3 linked regions of the Coturnix japonica genome follow. The protein of the gene in region 1 interacts with the protein of each later gene in a pairwise test. Links are inferred from orthologs where the notes say so. Each region holds a gene or a part of one and is shown in the gene's direction. Other genes may lie near its edges.

Evidence for each region. The genes of interacting proteins can lie anywhere in the genome.
Region 2: the proteins of EGLN3 (region 1) and ATF4 interact in a two-hybrid assay, tested with the Homo sapiens proteins (2 studies listed by BioGRID). The link is inferred for Coturnix japonica from reciprocal best matches to the Homo sapiens genes EGLN3 and ATF4.
Region 3: the proteins of EGLN3 (region 1) and FOXJ2 interact in binary tests that used the Homo sapiens proteins (3 or more experiments, as listed by UniProt). The two-hybrid records come from large-scale screens. The link is inferred for Coturnix japonica from reciprocal best matches to the Homo sapiens genes EGLN3 and FOXJ2.

The regions. Positions count from the first base shown.
Region 1 is NC_029520.1:32,323,489-32,330,849, reverse strand, and holds part of EGLN3 (egl nine homolog 3), read left to right. Parts: intron 1-1,450; coding exon 1,451-1,570; intron 1,571-2,575; coding exon 2,576-2,712; intron 2,713-3,387; coding exon 3,388-3,461; intron 3,462-4,488; coding exon 4,489-4,526; 3' UTR 4,527-7,361. UniProt on the Homo sapiens protein: Prolyl hydroxylase that mediates hydroxylation of proline residues in target proteins, such as PKM, TELO2, ATF4 and HIF1A. Target proteins are preferentially recognized via a LXXLAP motif.
Region 2 is NC_029516.1:46,168,667-46,176,568, reverse strand, and holds ATF4 (cyclic AMP-dependent transcription factor ATF-4), read left to right. Parts: upstream 1-2,449; 5' UTR 2,450-2,653; intron 2,654-3,613; 5' UTR 3,614-3,711; coding exon 3,712-3,925; intron 3,926-4,457; coding exon 4,458-5,308; 3' UTR 5,309-5,396; downstream 5,397-7,902. UniProt on the Homo sapiens protein: Transcription factor that binds the cAMP response element (CRE) (consensus: 5'-GTGACGT[AC][AG]-3') and displays two biological functions, as regulator of metabolic and redox processes under normal cellular conditions, and as master transcription factor during integrated stress response (ISR).
Region 3 is NC_029516.1:68,471,518-68,479,635, reverse strand, and holds the start of FOXJ2 (forkhead box protein J2), read left to right. Parts: upstream 1-2,665; 5' UTR 2,666-3,241; intron 3,242-3,938; 5' UTR 3,939-4,066; intron 4,067-8,118.

The DNA.
Region 1 (7,361 bases):
CAGGGTGTGTCTTAGGACCAGTCCTGTTAATCATCTTATCAATGACCAGAAGCAGATGGCAGAGTGCACTCTTATCAAGTTGAGATGACACCAAGCAGGGAGAACTAGCTGATGTGCTTGAGGGCAGGGTTGATACTCAAAGGGAAGCAGATGGGCTAGAGAAACAGGCCTGCAGTATTCTCATGAAATTCAACATGGAGAAATGTAAAATCTTGCCCTTGTGAAGGAAGAGCCCCTGGGGGGCTGCTCTGCTCCCCAGGGCAACCTGAGGACTCTGAGGATCTCAGTAGACGGCAAGCTGAAAGGGAACCTGTGGTGTGCCCCTGCACAGCAGCATCCAGGCAGTGACACAGCCTAACAGCAGATGAAGGAATATAATCGCCCTCCCTACTCAGCCGTGAGAGACTACTTCTAGATATTGAGTTCAGATCCATAAATTAACACATCATGTCATCTGCCATCACTCTTGGTGCTAATACTGGCAAGAAATGAAAGGAGATGTTTGAGAGGTGGGAACAGGACTTCTATTGCCACGTTTTTAGAGCAAACTCAATAGAAGGTAAGTGGTATCATTACCAAGTAGTTCCAGCAGTGAAGGAGTGACTGTGGGACAAAGATCTTGTATCCAACCAGCAGTCTCTCCTGCTTTTCCCTTCTTTAGATGCTAATGGTGGTTTCTGAAGTTTAATGTTTTTGCTGTAAAAACCCTTTTAAGACCCTTTGTCTTGAATTCACTTGTGTGGTTTGGAATAAGTCATACTGAGTTTATCTCATCATTCAAGGTGAAATTTCCACAATGAATTAAATGATTGTTTCAGCAGCTCTACAGATGATCAAAGCTTCTGAAAACTGTTTGGTAGCTTTGTGGCTCAGTCCGTGAAAACAAACATGTGCTGCCCTGTGCAAACACAGCACAAAAAAGTTGCACATTTTGCTCTGTGGACTTCTACCCACCCTTCCTAGGGAACCTCACTTTGTGTTGGATCAGGGGGATGCATATGACAGAGGTTAGAAGATATGAAAAGTAGACAGAGGTAGTAAGGCATGATGTCCTGGGACCGCTTTCTACTTTCATTATGACTGGCAATTCAGTTTTGCAATGACTGCTCAGCTTTAGAAACTCGAGCAAACTTCATCTCGAACGGCTTCAGAGTCACGTAGCTTGTAGAGAACAAAAATATTGCATAATAAATACCTTTTTTTTGTTGTTGTTGTTGTTTGCTTTTTTTTTTTTTTTTGTCTTGGTGAGCATACTGTGAAATATGAAGGTTATCTGTTTCCTGTTTGGAATTTCATGCTAACTGATCTACCCAGTGAAAAAAGCGTGTGTGAAAAATCCTCCTGGTGCAGCTTTTGGAGCTAAACTGGTGGTGGGAGGAAGCTCAGAGAAGAACAAATAAATGTGAGCATCTTTGAGAAATAATTTTCCACAATCTTTATCTTTTTTCAGGCTATGGTTGCTTGTTATCCTGGAAATGGAACTGGGTATGTGCGTCACGTGGACAACCCAAATGGTGATGGGCGCTGCATTACCTGTATTTATTACCTGAATAAAAACTGGGACTCCAAGGTGAGTGAGCCAGAAGGCTAAGGCAGAGCATGAATTACAACTACTTCAGAAACTTCAGAGCTTTGGAGAAGTCAGCTGATTCTGCAAACTGTGATGAACTTTTGAACAGCTTGTCCATTTTTTCATTGCTTTACATACATTTATTGGTGTTTATAGCAACCTCTTGGAAGTAAAAATCTGAACCGTTTCCTTATCATTCTGTCTCCCATCCCACACACATGTTGTTTTGTTATTATAGAATAGCACTTGTAAGCTCTGGGCTGTGGCACTTAGTTTTGTTTAGAGAAAAAGAGCAATGAAGCTCTAGAAAGAATCATAATCCCCTGAGGAGTAAGTGGATTCTGTAAGCTGAATAAAATGACAGCCCAAATCTAGCATTTAGACTTACAGAAGTTCTTAATGCAGTTGCTTTTGTGGTTTTCTTCCTTACAATGGAGAGTGATCAGGCTCTGGAATGGGCTCCCCAGAGAGCCTGGCTCCAAGCCTTCTGGGGTTGAAGAGGTATGTGGACAATGCTCTCAGATATTGGGTGGTCCTGTGTGGAGATAGGTCTGGTGATCCTAGTGGATCCCTTCCAGCTCAGGATGATCTATGAATGAGCACATGACTTAGCTTGTTCTCTGCATCCTTAATCACCACTGGGTCTCCTGACAGGGAGGTACTCTTGCTTCTGTTTGTATTACTAAAAACAATTAAGTCAGCCTGGAATTTACCATACTTTTAATATGGAAACAAAATGAGGGTTTATAAACCACAAGATGCCACTGTTTTCTTTCTTGGATTGTTTACTTTACCCCTTGATGTTTATGCTGAAACATTGCAAACTGTTTGAAAGTTGAGGTGGCCAGGAGATGCAGTGTACAGTTCCAGTGTTGTCATATAGCTGCTTTGGTTATCATTAAATGTTTACTCAGTTTGGATGATGAGGAAGTGAAAATATGTTGTTACTCACATCAATATGTGGCTGTTTATATGTGTAACAAATAACCCTTCCTTTTCTTTCAGCTCCATGGTGGAATTCTTCGAATATTCCCAGAAGGGAAGTCCTATGTAGCAGATGTTGAGCCAATTTTTGACAGGTTGCTTTTTTTCTGGTCAGATCGAAGGAACCCTCATGAAGTCCAGCCTTCTTATGCAACCAGGTAGGTAGTACATTTGATGCTGAAGTTTTGCCAGGAAAAAACAAAGTATGTCTCCTATCAATATCACATCATTTGTATCTAAAATTAGGGCTACTGTGTATTTAAGACATATGTGTGTAAAAAGTAGCCAGATTTTGAATAGATTTCATATTTTTCAGTTACTGGAATTTCTCTCATCAAATGAAGAATAGCAAGCTTGAAAGATAAGATACTTGTTGTGATGAAAAAAAGTCCTTCACTAGTGACAGAAGTCTTCCAAGCTGGGCATAGCTGTTTAGATGGGAAATGTTAGGTCACTCTTTTGCCCTCATAACACTACAGGGATTCTTGGGGCTACCGTCTGTCACCAGGCTATGAAAAGCTGATGTGACATAGGGCGGCTCCAAGCTGCCTAAAGGCATCCCAGAACAGAAAAGCATGCAGAGGTCTGTAAGCTATTTTGCTCTCTGTTACCAAGGGCTGTGCACTCTTTTATGCTTTCAAGCAGAAATTCTCACCTATATTCCTGTCCTACTTGTCTGAATACACATATGAAGGGCTATCTGTGTTTGTCTTCAAATATGTGCCACTAGTATCCTTTTTAAATTTATGAATTGTTTTGTTGTTTGATTTCTGCATAAGAACTAAACTTATTAGCAAAACTTGAACCAAACACAAGATTTCTTTCTTTTATAGATATGCCATGACTGTGTGGTATTTTGATGCTGAAGAAAGAGCAGAAGCAAAAAAAAAGTTCAGGAACTTAACCGGTATGAGTTTTACAAAATATTGTAGCTGGAAGAGTAAGACCTTCCTTTTTAGGACTAGTGATCAGATATGAAGTAGGACAGTTGGGAAAGAAGAAAATGAAGGCCTGGCCTCAGTAACCCTAATGGGGAGTATGGGAGAGGTGATTTTTAAAATTTTTATTCTAAATCTACAGCTGAGATGTCAGTTTTACCTTAGGAGTAACTTCTGTGTGGGTGTGTTCGTAATAACCTTGGAATGAGTAGACTATGTAAGATAGAAGGAAACAAAGTTTGTAAATACATAGGAGTACACCTTTTGGCACAGTTTGCTGGAGTAGCTGTGGTAATGATGGTTTCCATGAGCTGCCTGCTTTCAGCTGGTTTCACAGATGGCTTGAAATCATCCCAGAAACATTTCTGTGGAACCCCAGGATGACCTGACTCCAGCTTTCTGGTCTGCAGCACCTGATACTGAAGTACTAGCATACAAGTAGGGGACTGAGGATCCTGATATGCTCAAAGCATTGCTGTTTGGATCAGTTTCATTTCTGGTCTTTAGGGACTGCTTCAGGCAGTTCCTCAGAATGTGGTATTGAAAGTATTCTTTTTCAAATGTATGCTATTCAGATGGAGACCATCAAAACCATAATTAATCAAATGGTTTTCAGAATAGATGTCATTTCTGTAGCTGGCAGGCAGAACAAATGGAGACTTCATTCTTAGATGGGAATACGAGCAAGGGACCAAGATTTGGGGAAAAATTACCACAAATCTGGAGTCTCTGAAAGATAATTGGGCTACTTAAATGCTGCGTGACTTATATTCAGCATCAACAGGGTAACGATACAAAACCTTAGTAGAACTGTCTTGTTAACATGTTGTGGATTCGTGTAGCATTTAAGCCTACATGATGAATTCTTATCAAGAGTCTCAAGTGGAAGGGCTATCCATTGAAAACAAACCATCTTTATTCTGCTTGTGTTTTTGGATGAATGCTACTGGAACTTTCTCACTTAACTCTCTAATTTTTCTGGTCTTTTTGATGTAGACGCAAGGAAGAGAGAAGCAGCTCTTAATGAAGACTAATCAACAATTTCTGAACTTTGTGAAGAAATAGGATCCCAAAGATGACTTCTATTTCCAGTGAACCATGGCACATTTTTGTTATGCACAAGAACGCACTGGTTGTGTCTCTGTCTAGCATGTGCATCTTGTATTGATGGTACTTAAGGCAGCCTCCTGTCGTGCCTGCATCTGGCAGAAGGAACCTTTGTTTTCTATTTGCCTTTTGCTGGAACAAGTAACCAGGGTTTTAATTTAAAAATAAATAAATAAAAGGGAAAAATAAAAAAAGCCTAGTGGTAGTGGCTCGACCAACTGGCTTTTGATCACTTTTGTAACCAAGGTAACAATTGTTGGAACTAGTGAGAAAAACTTGAGTCTTATTTGCACTTTACTGGGGAAAAAATATAAATCTAGCTCAATGGAAAGGAGCTTTGCAAGTTTAAAATCTGTGGCAGACTGCTGATGGGCAAGAAGAGATATTGGAAATGTGATATTAAACTGGATTTTTTTTAGGGTCTTCTATGGTATGTCCCACATGGGCTTGTTCATGGACTGCTCATCAGCTTTGCTGTATGGAATATTGGCTCAGCTCTTCTGTAGCAGGAGTTACCAAACAGACTTCTGTTTTCATCACATTTCTTGGAGTTCGGTTGCTTTTGTTAGAGCTGTGCCATTGCACTTCCCTTTCTGTCCCATTCTGGAGAGGGAAGTGGCTATGCATCAGTCCACACCTTTGTAAAGGCATTCTCTTTCTGTTCTGAGCTGGATTGGTTTTGTTTTCTATTTTCACTGTTTGTTAAAGCATCTGTTTCCTCCCAGAAGTTCAGTAAACTTTGAAGGCTGATGGCGCAGAATGCACTGGCTCTAAAGGCCATCAGTTAGGTAGAGCTGAATGTCTTTTTAATGACTCTTCTCCATCAAGCATATTTTGTATGACACAGATGTGAATCTGAAATGAAATATGTCTGGCAGTCTGACAAATGTATGGTAATGACTGTTGACATGAAGTTGATTTCTGTGCTGCTTATCCCTACTTAAGACACTTGTTTAGCTTTGTTTGCATGTGTATGAAATTTGAATGAAACAGTGATTCTGTTTCAATTCTATTATGCCTGGTAACTACTTCTGTTATGTTCAAGCCATGAGATATACAACAGATTATTCAATTGGCAGAGCACTTTGTTTTTTCTCCATTATTTTCTAAAAACTTAGACTCAATGAGTAACTGCTGAGTTATGTCCAATGTGTTTAAGCTACAGTCCACAACAAGCACTTACTGTGCAGTTTGGAATAGCTCTTAATGGAGCTGAGAGTTTTTTCTGTGCCACTTGCCCACAGTAGCTGACGTGGCCTTCCTGAGCTGCCGGTCCCCAGACCAGTCAACCACACCATGCCAGGCTGTTGTACTGTCAGTGGGCCTGGGCCTGTTGCACCTCAGCTAGGGAGTGAACAGGAAGCGTGTAGTAGCTGCTATTACATTGCAAAAGGGTGACAGCTACAAAGGACAAAATTCCCTTATGCTAAACAATGATAATAGAAATGGTGTATTTCTTAAGCAGTTCTGTGTTAGTAAAAGCTGTTCTTGAATTTTGAATGTAAATACAGTAGTGCTATGAAACCCCTCGACCTCTCTGTCTTCTCCCAGAGATCCAGCTTTCGTCATGTGGACTGGACTTTGTTCAGCCTGACTGTGCACCTTAGGGGAGGAATATGAGGGAATGTGTCACAAACACTCTCACAACTTAAAACTAGGAAAAAACAAATAATTTGATGTCCTTTAATGTTAGGAAAAACATTATTCTGCTTCACTTGCATCTAAATAATGCAACATAGACTTGAAAGAAACTTAATGATGACTTGAAATTCTCATTCTTCAATGTTTGTGTGTGGAGAAAGTTAGGTCTGTTCCCCAAGTGTGAGAGGTAACCCTTTGGAAGATGGTAGGTGTCAAATTCTTTGAAAGGGTCAACGAGGGGATTGTTATTTAAAAGGTGGGAGAAAAAAAAATCTCATCTTGTTGTATTGCTATGCAAAATTGATAATGGAACATGAGTTTTAAACTTCTGTGTACTTTTAAGCGAGGCCAAGACAGCTTAATACAGCAGGTCAAGTCTCGCTTTGTATTTGGAGACTGTAACATTAAAACGATGCACTAGGAAGATGTTAGTACAGCTCTCATTGGAGCCTGGAACAGTGGAAAAATGGTAGGGTGGAAGGGGAAAAGACTTGTATAAAGTTTGGGAAAGAAAGGTACTTTGGTTATTAAGAGCTACCATCTGCCTTCAGCAGTGAGCAGCAACACATGGTGGATGGAGGTTGGAACAGTATAGATGCATTTATTGTAAATAAAGTACATGTTTTCATTTTTAGCCTATATCTTCCTGGTCTAGATAGAGAAAACAATTATCCTGTGGCAGAGAACATTGCCGCCTTCTTTGTTAACACTGTAGTGAAATACAAAACAAAAGACAAAACCAAAAACAACAGTTTATGACACAGGATATTGAAACCAATTCCTGTCCTCTGTTTCAGACCTTTGCCCCCTTTCCAGGTCAGTGGAATGGTCTCCTCAAAGATGCTGTAATATAATTGGGTGGCGGTGTGGTGATTGATGGGCATGTAGGAATCCAGTCTAATGTTTTCTACATAGATTTCTCATAGCTGCAAACTGTTCTGTTGGAATGTAATTGTGTAAGAATTCTAGGGGCAGCAGAGGGCATTTCAAGGAGATTCTTTCCTTTCTCTGGGTTTTGTTTTCATGGCAAAGTGGCTGAAACATTAATGGCCAAAGGGCACTTCTCATCCAGTTTTGAAAAGGCATTTAATTTTTAGTGCTCAAAAGCTTTTCACTTTTAG
Region 2 (7,902 bases), on another chromosome or scaffold:
ATTATCCAGCTCAGTCACAAAACTCACTCCTCAAAGGAGAAAACTGTGATGTAATACCTGCAAAAGCAGAGACGTATTTTGTAATGGATTGAGACATGTCTCATTAAATTGTGTAACAATAATTCTGCAGTCTCTTTCAGGAAACAGGGAGAAATAACACTGTTACTAAATGTCTGGCTTTTTGTTACCTCATTTCACTTCCTGAATTGAAGATGATGAAAAAAAACCAAAACAAAACCCAAAACTGTTTGGTGCTCAAAATGTAGACAAATGTGCACATTTGCAAAATAAAAAGGGAAGCAGGCAGCTAGGAAACAGGCAGATCTGGGTTAAGTTCCTCATGACATGCATCATTTTTGCTTGCATAATTCTTACTCACACATACCCAGAGTCCTTTCTTCAAAAATATGTAATTACCATTTCAAGAGAAGCATTTCTGTTTATTTTGCTACAGTTACAGTGGTACAAACACCTTTTTTCTTTGCAGTTGGATGTGGGGGATGTGAGAGCCCTCCCTCGACCAGCCAAGACACAGAGATGCTGCCTCTCATCCACCCAAGCCAATCACCCACCAGGCTTCTTCAGTAGCTGCTGCATCCATCCTCTGAATTTTGCTTTGAAGCAAGATCTGCCTGCTCATTGGTGCACGTATCAGAGGAGTCATCTGAGATCACTCAGTTGCTATCGTGTTTTCTGATATTGGAGGGCATTTTTCTCTGCTGCCTCTTCCATCTTAGTGAGCCATTAAAAATCGATGCTTGATTCTAGAAAAGCAAAAATAAAACAAACACATTCACACACCCACAGAGAAACAAAAAAGCCACAAAACACCACAGCACATTGGAAAAGCTGTATTTTTACTTTCAGCAGCCAATGTTCAGTTTACAGAGCTGGAATGACATACATACCCCAATTTGTTGCAGTGATGGTGACATCCTGCTGCTAAAAGTAGAAACCTGGCCATGACTGTCCTCCCTGGCCATGCCCATCCTCTGGGATTATCAGTGGAGCTGTTTAATGAGTTCCAGGCAGGTATACTTGTGCAAACTGAGCCAAGGCCATGGCTGTACACAAATACTAACAAGCCCTAAATGGAAAACAAGGGAGCCTTTTGCAGTGGAGCCAAGAGGAGTTTATTGACAGGGTGATAATGTTTTGAGCAAGCAAGGATCCATGGAGGGGGGTTGGAGCTTGATGATCCTTCCAACCTAAGTCATTCTATAATTAATCTTCAGAGCTGATGGTGTGTTGTAGGGCTGGTAATGTGGGAAAGCAACCAAAGGCCAGGTAGTGAAAGAAAACATGGGTAGCAACCTTCCCAGCTCACCTTCCTCACTCAGAGCTGCATATGGTGCTTTAGTGTCCTCAGAGAATCACGAGGGGACTGAAAACATCTGTTCCCCATGGGTTTCATACAGGGCTAGGTGAGGACCAGAGGAGCTGCTATAAACATACAGGGCCAGACGTGATGGAGCAGGGCTGCCTTCTCATTTGGCTGATTTAGTTCAGATAAAACATAATGCAAACCTGCTTGAAAACCTTCCCAAGGTGAGGCTGTTTACTAGGGCCGTGAGGCTGTGTAGATGACCCACTAATGCTCTCCTCCATTGAGTAATGGCTGCTCTTGCATCTCCTCACAAACCACCCCAGGCCAATGTTACAGCTCAGCTACAAAGCTAGCAGGGTGTCAGGGACACAAACACACAGCCCTATCTCTGTGGGGCAAGTAGCAGGCAGGGAGTTTTCCACTTATCTGAGGGAGCAGTGACTCTCCTCAGCAAAGTTCTGCCCTCAACTCTGCTGGACGTCGTCTGGAGGGGCTGTTAAGAACGCACAGGGAGAGCGGACAGGACTTCGTGTGGAGGGCATAAAGAGCTGTCAGTAACAAAGGAGGCGTGGTGCTTCAAAGAGAACACGCCACGGAAATGTGAAGCAGAGAATAGAACCAGCGCCACCGCCATTTTACGGCTCCTCGTTCTCCGTGCCTCTCACCATCTCTCCCTTTTCGGGCGTCAGCCAATGGCGGCTCAGCGCTCACACGGTTACCACGCCACCAGCCAATCGGCGCGCAGAGCTCACTGGCTGTGTTGGCGGGCAGGAGCAGCAGCCCCCCCACATCCCCCTGCGCTCCGCGGCGGGCGGGAGGAGTGTCCTCAGCTGCTGTATCACGTGGCCTCCCATCTCGGCTGGGCGGTGTTTGCGCGGAGGAACACCATATAGTCCCTCTGTCTAGGAGCCCACGATGGAGGGAAAAGTTATTGCTGACAGCTTTTTTGGTTAATCTTTAGCAGGATGGAACGAGAGCGGCCCAGAAAGTTGAAGGTCTACAGGCTGAAGGGTGCTGACGAGAGGCGGGTGACGAAGAGCGGAAGGACACATCAGGCCGGATCTCGTTTTGATTAGCGTGAAGGTATATAAAAGCGGAGCGCGCGCGCTGCCACCTCATTGTGTGCCCTTGGCTGAGCTGACAGGTTGTAACTGTGACCGTGCGTAGCACCTCTCCGCGCGGCGCTGACCGGAGCACCAACCAACCCCCCCCCCAGCCGCCATGGCTCTCTAAGGGCGGCAGGGCCAGCGGCGGCATCGGCCAGTGCAGCGGGCGCAGCAGCAGCGGCGGCGGCCTCGGCACATCCCCGGCATCTGCAACCATGGCGTGAGTAGCGCGTGTGGGGAGTGCGCCTTGTGTGACAGCCACCCCCTGCTTCATAAAGCGGGGTTCTGGGGTGCGAAACGGACGCCCCATAGGAAAAGCTGTCTGGTTAATAGGGTGGGGGCTGGAAACCTACTTGAGGGTGACGGAAATGGCAGGAAATGACACTTTTAAGAGGAAAAATGAGCCATAATACCCTGTATTTTAGAGAAGCCCACATCCTGAAAGCTCAGGGCTGTTCTATTTTGTAAGGCTTTTGTGAGAATATTAGCTCCCTAGACGGTTGTCTTAGTAGTATAGGGGATTGTCTTTATAGAGGCGTTCCCACAGCGGATGGAGGAGTTAAACGGGGCTTCCAACGAGCGGGCATTAAGATAATCCCTTAATGCTACGGCGCTGCTGGCCGGGGGAGGAGGAGGGTTGTGGGGGGAGGGGGGGGGAATGGTGTCGAACCCAGCCTGATAGAAGGGTGTAAGGCTGTCGTGGTATTTATCATCCGAATCCACCTGGTCCATAAGTCAGCCTAGCACCAAAAGGTGCTCTGTCGTTCTATCGTCCTGTCACCTTCCCCTCCCCCCCACCCCTCCACGTTGATGGCGTTCCCATCGACACGGGGTGAAAACGTGTCACGGCACAAAATGGCGGCGGGGCCGGGTGGGGAGCGGTAGGCGGCAGATCGCGAAATGGCTGCGGCGTGGGCGTGACGTGAGTCAGGGCGCGGTGGGCGGGGCCTCGGCGGGGCGTGGGGCTGGCAATGCCGTGCTGGGCAATGGAGATGCGAATAGAAAAGCTTTTATGAAAGCAAACAAATAAAAAGCAAGAGTTTGAGGCAAACAGCCCTGAAAATGCTGCAGTCGTACAAGTCTGGTGCAACAGCACTCTCCCTGAGGCTGCGTTTTGTTGTGAAGGCTGTTTTTCCAGTAGAACAAGCACTGATGCATGCGAAAAATGTTTGTCTTACAGGTTTTTCAAGGCACCGCACAGCAGCACTGCTGTAGTCAACAAAAAGGCCCTCTCCTTGTCTACATCCTTTGACGTCAAAGCGCTAAAACCTGACCAAGATGAGCCTCTTGAACAACGAGATGCTGTTGGGGGAGTCCTCCCCCCTCAGCCAGCCGTGTTTGGTGGCTGAGGAAGGTCTGGGACTCCTCGATGACTACCTGGAGGTGGCCGAGCCCCTCGGTTCGCATGGGTTCTCCAGCGACAAGGCTAAGGCAGTCTCCTCCAATTGGCTCACTGTGGACAGTTTAGGCAACACCATAGATAGCAGCCAGGGTAAGGCACTAATTCATGTGCAGGAAGTAACACCAAAGGTGATGGCACATAATAAATAATGTAATCCTCCTGTTCAAAGATAAATTGCACGAGTTCTCTAAATGGAAAGGTAACATCACGTATGTGTCTTCTGGCCTGGGAAGCATCCATACAACACTGATTATACACAATAGCAAATGGCTCTGTAGTCGACCAGCCTGTGGAAAAATGACACTTGCATTGCCCTTTTAATAACATGCCAACTATTAAGAGTAGCCTTCCCTGGAAGAGGTCACAAGAAACAAGTGTGGTGGTGTGTTTCAAATAGGCCTGAATTCTTAGAGAGCTAAGACTAAGAGGGATGGAATGTCAGCAGCTGACAGATACATAGTATCATGCAGACTTCCCCAGTTCATAGTAGGGGGAAGGGGTCTGGTAGTCGATCTTTTTACCATTAAAAAGAATGGGGGAAGATATAACTATTTCTGGTATAACTGGTATAGAATCTCTGTGTTGGCTCATCGAAAAATATACTGTTTTTCTCCTTGTTTAGAGGATGCCTTCTCTGGCATGGAGTGGATGGTGGAGAAGATGGATCTGAAGGAATTTGATTTTGATGCCCTGTTAGGTATGGAACATCTGGAAGCCACCGTCTCACCAGACGACCTGATGGCCACGTTGGAAGACACGTGTGATCTCCTGTTTAACCCTACCACCCAGGAATTTCACAACAAAGAACCTCCACTCATACCTGATCTAATCACCAATCTCCCCGAATCTCCAATTGGAGTAGATCCCATGGCCCCATTAGGCTCCCTGTGGCCTTTTCCCCTCTCCCCAGGGTCTCTGACTTCTGTTCCAGACCATTCATTTAGTTTAGAACTAGGTAGTGAAGTGGATGTTCTGGAAGGTGAAAGGAAACAGGAGGCCCCCACCTTTCTGGTAGTGATCACGAAGTCAGAGAAAGAGGAGGAGAACCATTCTGATGATAGTGGAATATGCATGAGCCCAGACTCTTATTTGGGAACGCCCCAGCACAGTCCTACCAATTCACTTGGATCCCCTAATGACAACCAGTTCCCTGCAGATGCCACCCGTGGCTCTCTGCGTTCTAAACCATATGACCACCCTGCTGAGAAGGTAGTGTCAGCAAAGGTGAAAGGAGAAAAGAAAATAGATAAGAAATTGAAAAAGATGGAGCAAAATAAGACTGCTGCCACACGTTACCGGCAAAAGAAGAGGGCAGAACAGGAGGCTCTGTCAGGGGAGTGCAGAGATTTGGAACAGAAAAATCAGGCCCTGAAAGAGAAAGCAGATTCCCTGAGTAAGGAAATCCAGTACTTGAAAGATCTGATTGAAGAGGTGAGGAAGGCCAAAGTCAAAAGAGCTAGAGTCCCTGAGTAGGGTAGTCAGTAGTGTTTGTGTGCATGTATATATGCTTGCTGCTTAAGCTGTGTGGTGTCTAATAAATTATTTTATAGTAAACTTGCAATTTTGTGTGGTAACTGAGTATCTGTAAAATAAGGGTTTATACCATGTCGTTTGGGGCTTCAACCAGCTGGAATGTGCTGCTCCACCCAAGTGTGCAAATAGCATTTACTGTTAATGTGGTTCAAGTGATACAGTACATGTTACAGCTCATGTGTAGCTGAGAATACTTGCAGATATCTAGTAAAATGGAGGGGATCAAGTGGAGATAGTCCCAGATCTTGAATAGCAAAAGCAAAATCATAAAGGTTCAGCCTTACAAGGAGCCATGTAAGTATGTTTATAAATATGGTTTGGAGAAGTCTCTTGTGGGAGTTACTGGGTTTTGACAAGCTGATGGCTTCAAGCAGTTCCCCAGGGTGTTAATTCCTTCTCTCTTGCACTGACTTGTCCAATCATACTGCACAAGCATCCACATGGAGCTGGTGTGTCTGCAGCCTTTCAGGGGCAGCCAACAAGCTGATCTTATGCTGGTGCCCCTTGCAATGATGCTGTTTCCATACTTAGTAACTTAGTTAAGACTTTGCACTGGCTGGAGATTAGGGCTGGCTCTTCCTCTGCATGTTCACTTAGCATTTATAAGAGCATTGGATTAAGAGATGGGAGAAAGCATCTGAGCATTAGAGAGCCTCCTGGCTGATCTCACATTGGCAGGCTGCAGGAGCCTCTTCCTTTTCTCACAGGCTCAGAACAAATGTGGTCCAACAATCCCTATGGTTTACGTGCATGGTGACACCATTCCCAGAAATAGATTTTGGTGCACAAAATAGAGCCCCCAGAGGAAGCCAGTTTTCCTGTATATTTGGAAACAGTGGAATTTTCCCAGTCTGCGCCCTATAAAAACTCAGTATTAATAGCTACCTTCCTCTTTCTCATGCATTTAGAGAGACCCAGGTGCTCTTACTTCTCTTTGCAAACGAGAAGAGGAAAACGCTGCTGCTGAGGACTCCACCGCTTACCCCTGTGAATAACCAAAGGGGCAAAAATAACCTCCATTTGCAGTGCTGGAGTATGAAATGATGGCAAATGCTTCCAAAGAGCCCTGGCGGAAAGTCCAGAACAGCAGCAAGGACAGGATGTCCTTCAGGAGAGGTGTCTTCCTCAGCACTGTGCTGGTGGCAGGGAAATGTTGGCCATGTATTGTGGTGACAGAACCACCATGTTAATTTATATAGGGCAGAGGATCTCCAAAGCACAGGATGCCTGTTGTGAACTTGACTCCTCTGCATCACCACTGCAGTGCCTGGACAACTGGAAAAGAACATCCTCTTTCCCCTCCATTAATTACAAGTTAGTGGAGGAGATAAATAAGCTTTCTTGCATGCAAATGGTGCTGCTCAACTTGGCTAGGTTGCTGCTCAGCCCTGCCAACAGCTAATTCCTTAAGAACAAGGTGTATGTAACCCTGCAGGCAGAGCAACCGTCATGATTTCCATTTCCCCTGCCCCCAACAGTCAGTGGCTGGTGCTGTTAATCCTCTTTAATGTAACTACGGATAGTCATACAAACCTTTAATCCATCTCAAACCTACTAACCGTTCAGCCTGCTTCAGCTGGAGTTCCTGGTTTTGAGCCATAAATAAGCATTAGGCAGCTTGCCTCCTTTTACATTCCTCAATTGACTGTTCTTGTTTCGAGGTGAGAAACTTCCATGTGCTTCACCATTACATTTGTGAGCTATTTGGGGCACTGCTGCTGTGTGCCCCTTTCTGTGGTAACCAGCCCCTTACCTGAGGTGTTCGGAGCCTATCGGTGTTGTAGGCGTGGATCCAACACTGTATGAATCAGCAGCAAGATTGGAAGGGAAGTCAGTCCCAAAATACTTGCCAAGGGCTGAGATTCCAAAAGGTTTCTAGGACCCCTCTCAACCACGGTTTTCCCCTCTCCCTGTTATGGTCATTTCAGCACTTTAAGTTGTTTGCCAAGCTACCTTGGTTCATTTGCAGCCTGGCTTGTCCCTCTGTTATTTCAGAGGGAAGAAACTGTTGAGTATCCTGAGCAATCCTGTTTTATTAGTTTATACCTGCAGCCTTCCTGATACACCTCTATGCTGATACTGGCTGTCGCTGCTTTCCACGCTGAGGAAGAACACATTTGCTGACACAGCAGAAGCTTTGAGCCACTCATACCTGCTCAGACAAGTTTTCCTGTTTGCTTTCCATTTACAGAACAGAGGAAGGCCATTAAATGGCTTTGTGAATCTTACTCACAGGAAGCCAACCCAGCACTGAGCACCTGGGAACTATTCTTTCTCCTCTAAACCACTTCCCTGGAAAGGTTTGACCACATTATTAATACTCCAGAGCTTATATTTGTGTTTATATTAAAGCTGCTTGTGGGAGGGTGGAGATGTGCTGGAAGATGGCACCCGCTCTCTTCCTCAGCTTGACCACTTCTGTTTTTTTTTTCTGCAGGATGCTTGGTTGATGTCGCAGAGCTGGGAAGGGAGCCAGCAGCCTGATGAGCTCAGCGTCCCTGGATTGCAGCTGCACAGGAGAGAAATGCTGTCCA
Region 3 (8,118 bases), on another chromosome or scaffold:
TTCAGCCCTCTGATCATCTTAATGGTGCTCCTCTGAACCGATTCCAAGAACTCTGTGTCTTTCTTGTGTTGGGGGCCCCTGGCCTGGACACAGTACTGTAGATGGGGCCTCACAAGAGCTGAGTAGAGGGAAACAATCACCTCCCTCTCCCTGCTGACTTCTCCTCTTTTAATGCAGCCCGGGATATAGTTGGCTGTCCAGGCTGCAAGCACACACGGCTGGCTCATGTCCAGCTTCTCATTTACCAGGACCCCCAAGACCTTCTCCACAGGGCTGCTCTCAAGGAGATCTTCCCCCAGTTTGTGTAAATAGCTGGAATTGTCCTGTCCCAAGTGCAGCACCTGAACTTGGCTTTTGAATCTTATTAAGTTTTCATGGGCTCACTTCTCCAGCCTGTCTATGTCCCTCTGGATGGCTTCTCTTCTATCCAGTGTATCAACTGCACCGCTCAGCTTGGTGTCATCTGCAAACTTGCTGAGGATGCACTTGATGCCATCATCTATGTCACTGATGAAGATGTTGAAGAGCACTGATCCCAAGACCAACTCTTGAGGAACACTGCTTGTGACTGGCCTCCACCCTGACACAGAAGCATTAATCATAACCCTGTGGCTGTGGCCAGCTAACCATTTCTTAATCCACTGGACAGTCTATCCTTCAAATCTCCAATTGAGAGAGAAGGATGCAGTAAGGGACCATGTCAAAGCATTTGCAGAAGTCCAGATAGATGACATCCGTCACCTTTCCCCTGTCCACGGATGCCATCAGTCCATCATATAAGGCCACCAGATTGGTCAGACACAATCTGCCCTTGGTGAAGCTATGCTGGCTGTCTCAGATTGCCTCTTTCTCTCGTATGTGCCTTAACATAGATTCTAGGAGGATCTGCTCCATGATTGTCCCAGGCACAGAAGTGAGCCTCAGCTTGTAGTTCCCTGGGTCTTCCTTTCTTCTCTCATCAGGGCTTCCCAGCAAAACAGTGCTTCTGTCTTGTCTCTTGAGTAATGAGGAGCCAATGTACAATATGGACATAGATCCTATATAGAGGAGGACTGTAGGGCTTGGTATGGAAATAGCAGAGTGTAATGAATAACACCTAGCTCTAAGAGGTGTCCTAAGGAATGGATGCCCAACCTTTTGGCTTATCTGGGCCGCACTGAGTGAAAAATTTTCTTGGACTGCATGTATGTAGGTTGTTCTCATATTTATTGCCATGGAAACTGTGAAAGATAAAATGAGCTCAGTAACTCTGCTTGATAGAGCAAATTTGCAGTTACAAAACAATATTTTCCAACATACCATCATTAACCATGCATTTGCAGCAGCAATGAATGAGAACTTGCATGCCATGCTCATCAAAACCTGCGCCAGTAGAGGTGACCCACTGTTGCCTCTGCTGAAATGCACCACCTACTGTCTCACTGTGCTCACATTCACTGTTTGGTCTCCATTAACTTTCAACATCAATGAATGTCAATGAGTGCTTTTATTTCCACATGGAGGAATTCAATGACATACTTCTGCTTCATACACACTTCCATGTCAGACGCCATTCTGTCAAACTTCCCTTGTGCTTCCATCTGTTGCATGGCAACAGAATCTAAAGGAATATTGTTAGGATAGTTCAGCCACTACTGCCGTTCTGCCAACATCCACCTCTGACATCGTGGGCCAACATAATAAAATAGGAGGCATTACTTCTGGAAGCAGTATGTCTCACAGCAGTCCCTCTACCATTGAACAGTTCTCATATTGCAGTTCAAGGAAGATAAAATCTACTCAGAAAATGCAGTGTTTCCCCTACTCATGCTTAATGTCTCCATGCCTTATAGCAGAGTCAGCGTTCAGAGAAATGCAAATATGAAACTAGCCATGGAAAGAAGAGATTATAAAATACAGTGAATCTTTCACGTAAGGCATGGAACCTGAGTCTGCTACATGTTTGTACGTTTCAGATGTCTGAGTGGTAGTGGTCTGCCTACATCACTGGCCTTTGATTAAGGGGGATCCCATACAATGGCTGTTCTTTCTCCCACATGTATTGTGGAGTATTTGCCCTATTATATGATTTACTTCACTGGAAAGTCTCCTTTAATTTTCTAGAATAATGGGCAGTTGTCTTACTCTGTGTCTCCAAAATGAGCTTTTCTGCCAAAAAGATGCTGGGGAGTGGCCCACCCCAGGCAGCAGGTCATTTGCCAGAGGTGTGGGGGCTGTGAAGGCGAGTGGCTGGTGACTGTTTAGAAGCAGTGTCAGGTGGGTGGGATGAGTCGTGTCCTAAAGCTGGAGCAGATGAACACTGTCTGGGTGAGTGACAGTTATGCAGGGGCCTCAACAGCTGTCCCAGCAGGCTGGGAGATGCAACAAGAAGTAGTGTCAGTGTCCCAAGGGCCTATAGGGTCCAAAAACCTACAGGTATCTCTGGGGCAAAGCAAGGCCCTGGGGTGGAACGGCGATGTTGGAGTAGTTTGGGTTGCCAGCGGGTGCCCGTGTCCCTGTCCTGTGAGCGTGCATCCAGGCTTCTCGGGCCAAACTATGCACACAGTTCTCCACGGACACCGAGTGTGGGCGCGCACACAGCGGCCGCAGCAGCCCCAGCCCGGCGCCTCCTTAACCCGGGGAGGCGGGGGTGGCAGCGGCTGAGGGGAGCTGAGGGAGGCGGAGCGGAGGCCGGGGAGGAGTCGGGGCCTGCAGTGGAGCCGCAGCCCGGAGCAGCAGCTGCGGGAGCGGTGGGGCCTGGAGAGACTCAGCGCCATTCGGCTGGGGCCCCCCGGAGCCCGGGGAGCCCTCTGGGGACGAAGCTGAGGCGCAGCAGAAGGCGGCGGAGGCAATTGCTCTGTTTCGCGAGCCGCTGTGGCCTCCCGTGGTAGCCGGGCCCGGGCAAGAGGAGCTGGGGCCTGGGGGGAAGCCAGGGACGGCCTCCGGGCAGCCGGGGTGGGGGAACACCCCCGTATTCCGCTGGGGTGGGGGAGAGACTGCCCGCCTGCTCCATCCGTAGCCGGGAGGGAAGCACCTGGTCGGGCAGCCCTGCTCGCAGCCGGAGCACCCGGTGGGCCCTTGTCGAGGGTGGACCTGCCGGCCCCTTCCACGTTAACTAGCTAAGGGGAACCTAGCAGTGGCTCCCAACCCCGCTAACTAGCTGAGGGTGGGCACAGGGCACAGCTGCAAATCCCGATAGAGAAGCAAATCTACTCTAACCTCGAAGTGGAAGAGAACCTCCTGGAGATCCTTTGATACCTATGTAAGTGAGAGGGATCCTCATTTCCCCAGTTTTTGAGGTTTGCAAGAATAACCGTGACTACCTACTCCCCCTTACTTCGGAGCTGCTGGGTGAGGGGATTCTTTCCTCAAGAGAGGAGCCAGCCCTTAATAGCCTCTTCCCTAGATCAGATAGTAAGCAGGGAGCCTCTACAGAAGAATCTTCAAATGCTCAAGGGAGGCAGTTTCCAAAATAGAAATAAGCAGGAGCTCCAGATAATTACCAGATAATTTTAATTATTTACATCTGGTCAGTAGACGGCAGAGAAAGTAAAACAAGGGAGAGAAAGCACAACCAGATTTGGATACTCCTTTTTCCCCTTGCTGTCTGCCACTGTTTTTACACAGTTTTTGCTGATATTGTCTACAGAACTGACAAAAATTCTTTCAGAGAAAAAGATCTGCCCACCCTTAAGGACAAGGTGCGCCTACAGGAAAAAGAAGAGAGACTTCCAGGTAGGGAGATTATTTAAGATCAATATCCCCAGCCTGGCAGCCAGTGAGGAAAAGACAAGGCTTTCTCCCCAGGGAGACAGTAGTTAGCTGCCAAAAGTGAGAGGATCTCCATCCAGGGATAAAAACAGCAGTTTCAGGGGAGTGAAGATCCCGAGCAGATTGTTTTAATACTCAAGATTCTGGTTTCGTTCACAATCCCCTTGCTCTCAAAATATTTCTTGAAGAAGCTCTTGGAATAGCTGTCAACAAGACTCTCTGAGGATGGCTCTCAGAGAAGAAGTGTGAAGAACAGCACCCCCAGAAATCAACAGTGAAGATAATCTGCCTCCCTCTGAAAAATCTTCCAGACAAAGTGAGTGACTACATTGTATTGCCTCCTATTTGTATCTGACCTTCTCTTTTAAGTGTTATCCTTATTTCCAATGTCTCTTTTCTCACTGTATCTGCTATTATTATTTTTTATTATTATTATTTTTTATTATTATTATTTTTTATTATTATTATTTTTTCCTCTCCTTTCTGAACTTCTCTCAAGCCTTTTTGTGTGGGTTTTTCTCATTTGGCAATCTTTTACACTACATGGAATTGATCTGATTCTTTCATTGTTTAGTCTTCTTGGATACCTTAACCCTAATCAATTGTAAGAAACCTTTGTCCTCTCCCTTACACTTGTTGGCAATGCTGTATTCATCCTAGGCCTTTAATCATCACCAGCCATTTAGGTGTCTTTGAGAAGGGTGATGTTTTTAAACAACACAAGACATTCTGTAGACAGGAATGGTGAGTAGTAGTACTGGTGTTCAAGGTTGTGCTCATGGGGTTGGAGCATCAGTTCTCCATCTGTGTACTACAATGTGGATTACTATGGGAATGAAGTAAATATGGGCTGCAAACTACTATGCTTGGAAGCTGGACATACAGATCTCAGAGGTAGTACTTTGGGATACTTGTCCTATTGTACCTAGAGACTGCAGGATGAGTTCTGGTATGATTGCCCTTGAGAGTGGGTTCTGTTGGGCTTGGGGCCTAGGAATAATGCTAGTGGAACCTGATCTGAAAGCCAAACCAAGCCATTCTGTAGTCTTCCTGTGTGTTTTATGCTGTGTTTGGGAGCTAGGAATGTGAATGGTAATGCTGATGCTGTGGTGAGCCAAGCAGGTTGCTTTCTGTAGATGAAACAGTTAATTTCAGTCTCAAATTAATATTCTGACACTGAAGTGATTTCCTAAAAAAAAAACAAGTTTAAGAGAATATTCATCTCAAATGAAACCACAGCAGATTCCTGTGGGAGAAGAATTGAGTCTAAGGGTATCTCACCTGAGATATTTATGTTTGTGTTCTGCAGTGAGGAAATCCAAGATCAAAGGGCACTTGACCAGGACAGGACAGGAACCCTTTCAGAATCTATTTGGGATCACCGTGGTTAACAGGGAGTCCATGAAGAAAGAACTTGGTGTAATTTGTCAGTAAGATCAAACTGAAAATGCCTCCAGGTTCATCCAAAGTGATTCCCAATCTATGCTAAAAATTTTGACAGTTATCCTTAGCTTGAGAAGATGCCCCTTTCTGAGGGAGGACTGAATCAAGAAGCGTATGTATATTTTGTGGATATTGTTAGATGCTCTCCTACCTGTTGTCCTGCAGTTATGCAATCAACCTGTTTTGAGTACAGTGTTATCTAGTGCAAGGAAAGAGATAACTAGGGCATTTTTGGCCTTTGTACATTGAGGGGGGGGGGGGGATTAACAGACTTGTCATACTCTGGAGGTTAATTTACCTTGCTCTACATTCATCATCACAGTAATGACTTGAAGTTTTTCAAGTGCTTTTGGCTCTGATGGGTGCCAGAGCACTTTACAGAATGTATATGTGCCAGACTTAGGAAAATTTGCTCTCTCAATGATTATTTTTTTTTTCTTGTATATAAAATGCTTTTTTTCTCTCTTGGTTATGATGTTAAAGATTTTTTTATTTTCTGTCAGAGCTTTAATTATTCATGACAGACATCCAGGGTTGAAAGTCATATGCATTATTATAATTGTTTGCTATTTATTTGTTAATTGCTGACAGGGCATTCAGTGCTGACTCACATACACAAACTTAAGACAATCTCTGCAATGAAAATTTCACAGTCTAAAAGACAACAGTACTGAAGTCAGGATATACTGATACATTCAAAGAAGGAGGTGATTTTTAGAGAACATAGATTTTGACAGTGTTGGTATATGCATCAGATGTTTATCACTGCCTTAAATGTAGCTTTTTCTGAGGTGGAGTACTGCAGCTTTTCTGCGTCATTTATTTTTTTTACAAAAGTATCTAAAAGAAAAATGATTAATATGGTTTATTGAAATAGAAGTGCAAGGTACTGTACAGAAGCATTTGTCTGAAAGTGCTATGTCATTGAGAGTTTACATTAAGAATATTAAACATGAACACATAGATTAGACTTCTAAAGCCAACGCTTAGATACATAAGTAATAGATACATAGTAAATTCTCATGTGTAAGTGCTTCAGCAGAAGCAACGAAGATATCAGTATTTTAGTACGGAGACTTTTAGATGTGTGTATGGATTTGTACATATAAATTTGATCATTCATATATCCAAAAGTTGACTTTATAGTGGAAGCAGTATAGTTCTGCCCAGTGTGCGCTCTATCTGTCTTTGAGAACTGAGTGTATGTCAGGTCCTAAGATAAAAATGAAATAAGAAAGTCTGGAGAGTTGTGGGGAAAGGATTACATTACTGAAGGGTTAGAAAGTTGCATTAATATTTTAGTATGTATTCTGTAAGTTCCTTGGATTTTGTCTTGAAAGTGTGTAGGGTCAAATCAGAAGTCAGAGAGCTTCAACTGAAACAGAATAAACAGTTTAAGGGGTTTTAATAATACTTCCCTATCCAATAGGATTTTGACAAATGCAGTACTTTTTTTTTTCTTTCCCCCCTCCCCCAAAAAATAGATCTTAATGCTGCTTGTGTCTCTGGAGCAGTTTTTTTCTTTATCTAGAGGTGCTGGTATCTTTGCATCCTCCCCTAAATGTCAGCTGACCTTTATGTAGTGGGAAATTCAGTCTGTGTCACAGTTTGGATCTTTGGCCCTTCAAGTGTCAGAAGGGAAATATGATTAATGGCAACTGTGATATGGACAGTTGTCCCTCAAGAGCAAGGCTGAGATGATTATCTCATTTTACACAGTTGTCAGACAGGAATTGCATCTCTGTCATTAGCAACCAAAAGATGAAATGCTTTTGGACTCATTTTCCCATTTGCTTTTCCCAGTCTTAACTGTAACTGGTGGTGTTGAGATAGAACTCTGTGTTTTGTAGTACTCAATTTGCAGAAACTGTTGCTTTATGATGCGTTGAAATTAAGACTTTAATTTAAAAAGGAAATCTTTCTAGCACTTCTGGTCTGGAAGACATCTTTGAAAATGAGACTTGTGTCCAGGTTAATGGACAGCCTAGTATTGCTACCTATTCTGCTGTTGATATGTCCTGCTTTCTTCTAAAGGATATATGATGAATGTTAAAATCTCCTGTGTACTTCTCTCTCCTTAGTTTTTCATATTACAGTGCAGCCTGTGTTACTGAGAGGAGGCAAAGAATGCTGCCATGTGTTTTCACAGTTAACGAATTGGAAAATGTTCAGTTTACGTTTGAAAAGAAACATGGAATATTGAAACGTTCTCAGTATTTCCGAAGGCCTTGCAACAGACTTCAGGACCCATTTACTGTGGTGGCCTGTAGTGTTTTACCAATATTTGGGTTGTTTTATCCTTCTGTCTTTGACTGGTCTTGTCCCCTACCCCATCCTAAAACAAACGCTAGAGTTAGTATCTCAGAGGTAGAAGGTGTATGGATTTTGCAAGCTGCTGACCGCTGCGAACCCTTTCCCAAACCTCATTGCTGGCTTCTTTTCATCATGCCGTAGTCAGATTTTTCTTCAGCATTAAGGCCCAGCATGCTTTCACCCTTCCTACTTCTTTAATCTCATTTCCTCCTGCACCCCACAGTTCCTCCCAGTTCTCTCTGTCCCGCTCTTTGTATCTTATTTTCCTTACTGTCCCTTTGTCATTCTGTCCCGTGGTTCCATAAACCAAAAATGCATCTTGTCTCTTTATAAAGCAAGCATTTCTAAGATGCTTTATTGTCAGCAGTTCTTTCTTTACCTATTTTGTAGGCCTTATTTCTACACCTGCATTTTGACCTGTTTGGCTTTAATTAGATAATATACTTGTGGACACAAAGCATTGTGGGTGGTTAGTTGGTTTTTGTTTGTTTCTTTGTCAGCAGCTAAGTCAAGAAGCCTGCTTTTATACAAATACGAAATAAAAGGAATTTTCTTCCTCTGAAGATATGCCGGTCATTCATGCTGGAGAATGACTCTTTGTATTAGACCTGT